Yarrowia lipolytica: one gene and its partner. The protein of the gene in region 1 interacts with the protein of each later gene in a pairwise test. Links are inferred from orthologs where the notes say so. Each region holds a gene or a part of one and is shown in the gene's direction. Other genes may lie near its edges. The genes, in order: YALI1_E38491g and YALI1_A05220g.

Region 1 (3,914 bases):
CCAAATCCAGCGACTTGACAGCAGTGTCATTGCCCAGAGAGTTGATGAGCAGATGCTTCAGGTCAGCAAGAGACGCCTCACCGTCCATGTTGTACAGACTCTGTTGCTGGACGTTGTAGTGAATCGTGGGCTTTGCTTGATTCGAAAGTAGTCGGACGTTGTACATGGTCTGAGACTCCGCTGGTGTCGATCCAGAACTCTCTGCTCCTCCATTCGCATCGCCCTTACTAGTGCTTCCTCTTCGAAACCTCTCAATAATGCTCAGTTTCTCCTTGTCGAGGGAAACAGGCAGCAAATGAAGATGGAACGTGGGGTTTGTGGCCGCCAAATTGGGCAGTTCATTGGCGTCGGGCAAGATCTTTCCTCCGAAAATCAGCTTCAGATTGCCCGGGTTGCCCAAATGCTCCTGTTCTCGGTTGTAAGACTCTGTGGACGTTTCGACACTTCCCTGTCTCTGTAACTCGACCAGTTTCTGGCAAAGCCGTTTTTTGACCACCAGAACCGTCTCATGCTCATGAGCATCTATCTGGAACTTGGTAGGCACAAACGGCAGAGCAGACGAACAGAGAATGTTGATCGAAGGCATGTGCTGGCAGTTGGCAACTTTAGGCACGTGATGAAGCCGGGTTCGCGATAAAGTACCTGGAACTGGGGTTAGGGTTGTTGGGGCGGAGTGAGCAAACTGTGTTTAGGGTCACCAATATATTCAGATGAAAAATATGATAGTAGTATGATACTCGTACTATATTAGCTGGTTATATGAGAACGGGGACGACTATACGACGACGACTCACTTATACTACTATCTGGATGCTTCTTTTTCAGTAGTACACAGTAATACAGCTAAAATATCAACTGGCGGCTCAACGCCACCATAACTACAGTATTGCAGCGGCGTATACTGTGCCGTGTAACATCAACAAATAGAGGTGAGAGCTGGATCAACGCCGATGACAGCTGCTGTGGTGGATTTTGTTGAACGGGAACAGTGAGATCTTAAAATGGGCTATTTACAGACGTATTAGTAATATATTGCTCTCTAAAGTGTCTCACAACGTCCTAAACCGTCATATTATGTACATAAACACCACCACTACAGTATGTAGTCGTGCTCGTACTGGTTCAAGTATCGTAGCTATTTGGCTCCACTGGAAAAAAGAAAATGGTCCTATATATGCGCTCAAGCTACAAGAAGGGGTATTACTAAGTGCAAATGCACTCACGACGGGCCGCTGAGAGGTCATGTGACTTATTGCCCACTCCGACACTCGGTCCAATGCAAAACCCTTCTATCAAGTGGAAGTGGAAGTTGGCCTAAGATTGACTGTACGTCATTGAGCACCAGAAGATGGACCACGTTTTACGTAGCCACCCTTGTATAAAACATGGTACGATCCAGGAGGTATTAGTAAACGCATACAGGGCCGGTATGACTAATCAGACTATCTAGCCTAGCAGAGACATACATTGATGTATGAGTCGACTGGAGAGGATTCGTACTGTAGCAGTGTACATACTGCCATGTCAAATCGGCTCTCCTCCTTTCCAAATGTGGCGTCTGAAAATTTAGAGTTGTGGCTAATAGTGGCGCAGGAAGGGCCACAAGTATCAGAGCAAGTGAGTGAAGATTTTGTCAATAGCGTTAAAATCGGTGTTTTTAAGCAGTGAATCTTTTCTACTACCGTTTTTACACCTCCATCAACCCCAAACAGCCCATATTTCGCCATTGGTACCTCCTTTTTCGCCTTCTCATTTTCTCCCTCCTCAAATAAACTCAGAGTCAAATCTGGTCATATTTTCGGCCCTTCCTCACCTACAACCAAACCACATACATACATGTTCTCGACACGAATCTGTCCACGAGTGTCTGTGCGAGCAGCAGGGCTGGTGTGCGCTTCTCGCCCACTCGCCGGCGCCGTCCAGCAGCAGAGAGGCATGCTCAAGTTTCTCAAACAGACAATTGGTCTGGACGACAGCGGCAATGAAAATGATCCGACCCCCGAGAACCGGTTCCATCTGTGGGACCAGTCACCCAACCAGGATATTCGGGAGCGGGCCGCGGTGATCCGCGCCCGTTCCAAGTGTCCCGTGACCGGCGAGGACGTGCGATACGTCTGTCCCAAGTCCGGAATCCCCACCCATCACAGCAGAGAGGCCTACGAGTCGGATGCGACGTTCCAAGAGCAAAACAAGGCCGAAAAGCTTTTCATGGCCAACATCTACGAGCATGATCTGCGATCCGGTCGAGATTTCCCCGAGTTTGATCTCCCCGGAGCTCAGGACAAGGATGACACTGTCAACTTCATGAACTGGGATCTGTTTCTGTACACCCGAGACTTTTACTCCATGGATACCGAGTTCCAGATGGCAGCCGTGACCAAGATGCTGTCATACCCCGTCACAATCGGCTCCGTGCTGCACACAATGTCCCCTTACGCTCTCAAGCCTAACGGTCCTCTGACCCTCGAGGGTCTCAAATCCCTGGCTGCTCTGCGATACTCTCTGTTCCCCATCGACAAGTCCCGTGCTCTGAACGATCGACCCATCCGATTGTTCATTCTGGGCGCCCGAGCCGAGTCCCAGCTGCCCCCCCACGTGTGGAAACAGCTCTCGTATCTCATCCCTACCGCCAAGTGGGAGCTGTACTTCATTGGTCCTGAGGCCTACTACGACCGAGACAAGCACCAGTACGTGCAGCACTCGCGACCCGTGGAGATGAAGATCGACGACACCATGACCTTCAAGTTCTACTCGGACTACTTCCATGTGCTCCACGAGGCTCATGATTTCTTCCCTTACGACCCCTACCTGGATGCATTCTTCCTGTTCCACCCCGGTCTGGGAGCCCCCGAGGCCATGGATCAGTGGGCCAAGTCGTTGCCCGGTCTGCTGGAGTCCAAGTGTGCCATCTTCTCCACCGGTTTCCACAAGGATGACCTTGAGCGAGACTGGAACTGGCTGATGGACAAGTTTGGCTCCAAGCTGGACGTGCTGCTGGAGCCCTCAGAGAACATCTTTGGCTCGACCAAGTGGGAGCTCAACGATCTCAATTCTACGGAGGTTTACCAGTTTAACCAGCAAATGTTTGCTTTCCGAGGCAAGCGATACCACGCCATTCCCCAGTAATGTACATAGGGCGTGAATATTATGACAGATGAAATGAGGAAGAAGAGCGAGGAAGATGAGCAGCTCTCACCAAACCACTGACTGAATTGTAGTAAAAACAGTACTTATTTGACCAAGCTCTGCAGTTTTACTGTACATACATACCAAGGGGTTGTATCATGTATACTACAAAGTAATTACACCAACTTTACTCATTAGAAACATTATACAGAACCAATGAATGGTATATACAACTTTTAACACTTCTGCCGTACTTTCTCTACTCAATGCAATAAATTAACAATAATTTCCCAGTTTCATCGGTTCAATCATAGACCTGCTAAATGATACTTTCCGGTTGTGTTAGTTACCATTAGTCAGATTCCGATCTCAGAGCAGTGTTTGGAAAAGGTCATCAACCCGTCCAAAAGGTGTTTTCAGAGTTGTAGACTGGATGCTAGAGTATCTGGGACAGACATCAATAGTTCAACCCCACCTGTCACCGCATCACCCTCAATATACCCATCTCCTGTTATTCCCGTGACGTTGAAGAAGATTTCGGGGCAATATTGAGTTCCGACTTTTTCCGGGATCTTCCAGTGTTAGTCAGAAATGGGGACTGAAGTTGCTTTTAGTCCTCGGAAGAAGATTGGTTAATTAAAAAATGAGTCAGCTGTTACTTTTCCAAAAAAAATTGCGCTCAATTTCTGTCCAGAACCACCAGTGAGAACGCTTCCATCACTCCCTCTCGGGGCATGTCTCCCCAACCAAACGCCAGAGCCTAATGTTGTATGCACAGGTAAGTACAC
Region 2 (3,537 bases), on another chromosome or scaffold:
CAAGCAGATGGATTACTCGTCCGAGGAGGAAGAGGAGGAGGCCTCTGATGAGGAACTCGAGGGCGGTAGCGTCGGTCTGTCTATCAACGCGCCTGCCAAGGAGAAGCGAAAGAGCATGGCTAAGCGACGACAGATGCGAGAACACAAGGAAAAGGAACGAATTCGAAAACAAATGAAGATGGAGATGAAGAAGATTCATGAGAAGATGCAACAGCTCGCCAAGCGGTCCGAGAAGTCCGAGCAGGAGAAGCAGGATCTCAAGGATCTCATTGCAGGAGGCGAGGCTGCCGAGAAGGTGCGAACCCGTCGGTACGGCAAATACGAAATTCTGGAGCCCACTCTCGATGTCAAGCTCTCAGGCGAGCTCACAGACTCTCTTCGACGACTCAAGCCCGAGGGATCGTTGATGCGAGACCGGTTCCGATCGCTGCAGCAGCGAGGAAAGATCGAGGCTCGAAAGCGACACAACCTCAAGCCCCGATACAAGAAGAAGGTGACCGAGAAGTGGTCTTTCAAGGACTTCAAATAGATGCAGATGGGATGGAATTAGTGAAAAGTAATATATTTTGGATTATACAGGATGTCAAGGTGAGATATTGGTATTGCGATACGACTACTGTATGTACAGGTACAGTGGTAATGGGTCTAATCATTTATGCGGAGCGAACGAGTTACTGTAGAGCAGACAATCTACAATTAGGACGGAAGAGATCTTCTACACTTATAAATCTGATTTTAAATAAATGCAATAAATATATAATACAGTAAACATAGTCGTGCAGTCACGATTTTTCGCTCTAAAATCCATACTTTGCTCCACTCTCCTTTTGGGTAAGGCGATTCTGAGAGTATGACGCCTCCAGCTGCTCCTTGTTGTCCTGGGCTTGTCGCAACAGACTGGTGATCTGGTGCTTGCCTCCTCCAATGGCCGTAAGAGGTCGCTTGTACTCGTCAAGCTTTCCTTCGGCCTTGAGTCTTTCCGATTCCTCCGTGAAAGCGTCCACTGAGAACTCGTGGATGTTGTCATTCGCCAGATTCTCAAATTCTCGATCTTTGCTTCGATTCTTGGGCCGAGGCGCTGCATCCAGCGTTTGGGCATGTGTTTTTTCAGAAACTACAATAATCGGTGGCTCAGCCACTTGTGTAACATTGTCCCCAATAGCCTGTGGCTTGATGATCTCGACCTTGGTGTCTTCCCTTACTTCCTTCTCCTGCTGGGCTCGCAAATTAAACAGGTTTCCGAGGCGTTTCGGAGCAGTTTGAGTCTCAGTTGTCGTTGAGTCCGCAGCCGCATCACCAGCAATAGTATCTACAACCGCAGTCTCTACAACCACAGTCTTTCCATCCGCCCCAACCGACTGGCCCTTGGCAGCTCGCTTTTCGGCTCTCAGCCGTTTTCGGACCGAGTTGGGCACCATTGTCTGCTTGTAAGATGCAGCGGTATTCACGGGGGACTCTGTCTGAGCCGGAGTCTTTTCCACCGCAGTTTCCTCTGTGCTAGTCTTGAGCTCTTCCTCTTTCTCAGTCAGCTTTTCAGGAACAGCAGTCGGGGTGTCCGTGGCGGAGCCCGCTCTGTCTGGAGACGCCGCTTTCTTAACGGGCTTGTTTCCCAACGCGCTGAACCGTTTCTTGTGTCGCAGTTGAATTTTTGCCATTGTCGCACTGATTCAGGAATCTTTTCAAAATCTTTTGGCCCATCACCACATATCCAGGAGAGCGCATCCTGTATGCAATGAAGTTACCCTACCTGTTCGCCTTGTCTCCAAACTCAAAATCTCATGAGGTCAAAATCTCACCACCCAAGGGCTCATATCACACACACCCACACATCACAGAAACATGTCTCAGGATCCCCATAACGGAAAGGGCACCTTTGAGGTGCACAAGCAACCCCAGCCCGGTCTCAAAGTGTGAGTATCACGACAATCGAGAGATTGACACGCCATGATATGTGTCGTAATCAGAGACAGGAGGTGGCTGCGACACTCAGGCAGTGTTGGCGGTGGAGGTTGGATTCGGGTGGCTAATGGTGGACGGGAGTGTGAAGAGAAGTTGTGGTTGAAATGGGCTATTTGAAGAGACGTGTTTGGTTGGTATTCCCCAAAGCGACTTGCAATCAAACTACCAATCTCACTCTCTTCAAGACACTACAGCTGCGTGCGACGATCAGAGCCACTGATCTCTCAATGCAACTCTGGGTTCAGTATCTACACGGACATTTTGTGACCAGGACAACACCGTGAATGAGAAATGTGTCTCCTTCATCCTTCTCTTCTCCAGAAAATCTACACGTTGTCTTGCTTGTGACAGACCCGTTTGAACTCTGCATTGCTGTGGCTAGCCACATGCCGCAACCAGCCAATCAATTGCTACAGCAAGCAGCACGTCGGTTTTATCACAACTACACCCTCTAAACTTTCGATGGTATCTTGAAGGACCTACTCCTGACCTCTGACCTCTGACCTCTGACCTCTGACCTCTGACCCCTGACCTTCGACCATGCTCGACCGTTCCATTCTAACACAGTTTCCGAAAGGGCAAGTACATTGACCCCAAGACCTTCCAGATGTCCCCCGCTCTGATTCGGGCCCGACGACCCTTCTTTGTGCGAAACATGCTCGCTCTGGCCGGCCTCACCGGTTTTGTCGCCGGTATCTACGGATACACCATGTACTCTCTGCGTACCGACGACTTTGGCGATGTGCCTATTCCTCCTCTTGATCCCGAAGAGATCAAGAAGCTCCAGAGCAAGTACAGCGACGACTCCAAGGCCTAGGTCTTTTGTATATATGTAAATAGTAAATTATTCTGACTGAGCACTGCGGGACTGACTGACCGTAATCAGGTCAGAAGTGCACCCAATGAGCTGTCTCATTGTGATTGTAGGTACGAGTAGACGACAATATAAGAACTCTACTCGTACCGGCACAACTGCGACCAGATACCATGTCCATCAGTTCTACTACTTGTAGCTGCCTGAAGATATGGTGCATACTGTAGAGCATGTAGGCATGTAGTGTTCGCTAGAGTAGGAACTGGACCCACTAACGTGGCCAATTGTAGTCGATGAGAGTTATATTGAACGAACAAGTGGAATTAACCACAAAATGTGTACTATCCTATCACCTCTATTTCATGTGAATGGTTTTATCTTGGGCGGTCGTCCAAACAAATATTCAAGTATCAGGTCAACTAAAAATTCCATAAAGTCAACTAAAATCCAAACTTAGTTTTGGATGACTGCTTCGTGCTAAACCAAAAATAGACTTTGAAAAGCAAGCTGGACCCTTACATGAGAGCAAAAGGGCGAGGTGATTGGGAGCGTCATTTGTGGCAGTTTTTGGACCACAAATCTTTTGAAAAATTATTTTGTGAGCTATAATCATGTGACTAGAATTGATTTCCGTTGTTTCCCCGATTGTATCGATTAAATCCAAATTATTCGCACTAAATAAGTGTCTTTAATTTAGTGTCCATTAGCCTCACACTAGTATCATACCAGTAATGTCAGTGAAAGTTCATGCATAGAACACGATC

Evidence for each region.
Region 2: the proteins of YALI1_E38491g (region 1) and YALI1_A05220g interact in binary tests that used the Saccharomyces cerevisiae proteins (3 or more experiments, as listed by UniProt). The link is inferred for Yarrowia lipolytica from reciprocal best matches to the Saccharomyces cerevisiae genes MSS51 and COA3.

What each region holds. Positions count from the first base shown.
Region 1 is NC_090774.1:3,847,310-3,851,223, forward strand, and holds YALI1_E38491g (uncharacterized protein), read left to right. Parts: upstream 1-1,836; coding exon 1,837-3,126; downstream 3,127-3,914. Other genes in the region: YALI1_E38479g (uncharacterized protein), read right to left, coding at 1-586. UniProt on the Saccharomyces cerevisiae protein: Has a dual role in the assembly of cytochrome oxidase subunit 1 (COX1). It has a regulative function on COX1 synthesis, acting as a translational activator specific for the COX1 mRNA, and it also binds to newly synthesized COX1 protein.
Region 2 is NC_090770.1:521,064-524,600, reverse strand, and holds YALI1_A05220g (uncharacterized protein), read left to right. Parts: upstream 1-1,839; coding exon 1,840-1,910; intron 1,911-2,526; coding exon 2,527-2,776; downstream 2,777-3,537. Other genes in the region: YALI1_A05254g (uncharacterized protein), read left to right, coding at 1-529; YALI1_A05229g (uncharacterized protein), read right to left, coding at 798-1,655. UniProt on the Saccharomyces cerevisiae protein: Required for assembly of cytochrome c oxidase (complex IV). With COX14, negatively regulates COX1 translation and is involved in MSS51 association with newly synthesized COX1.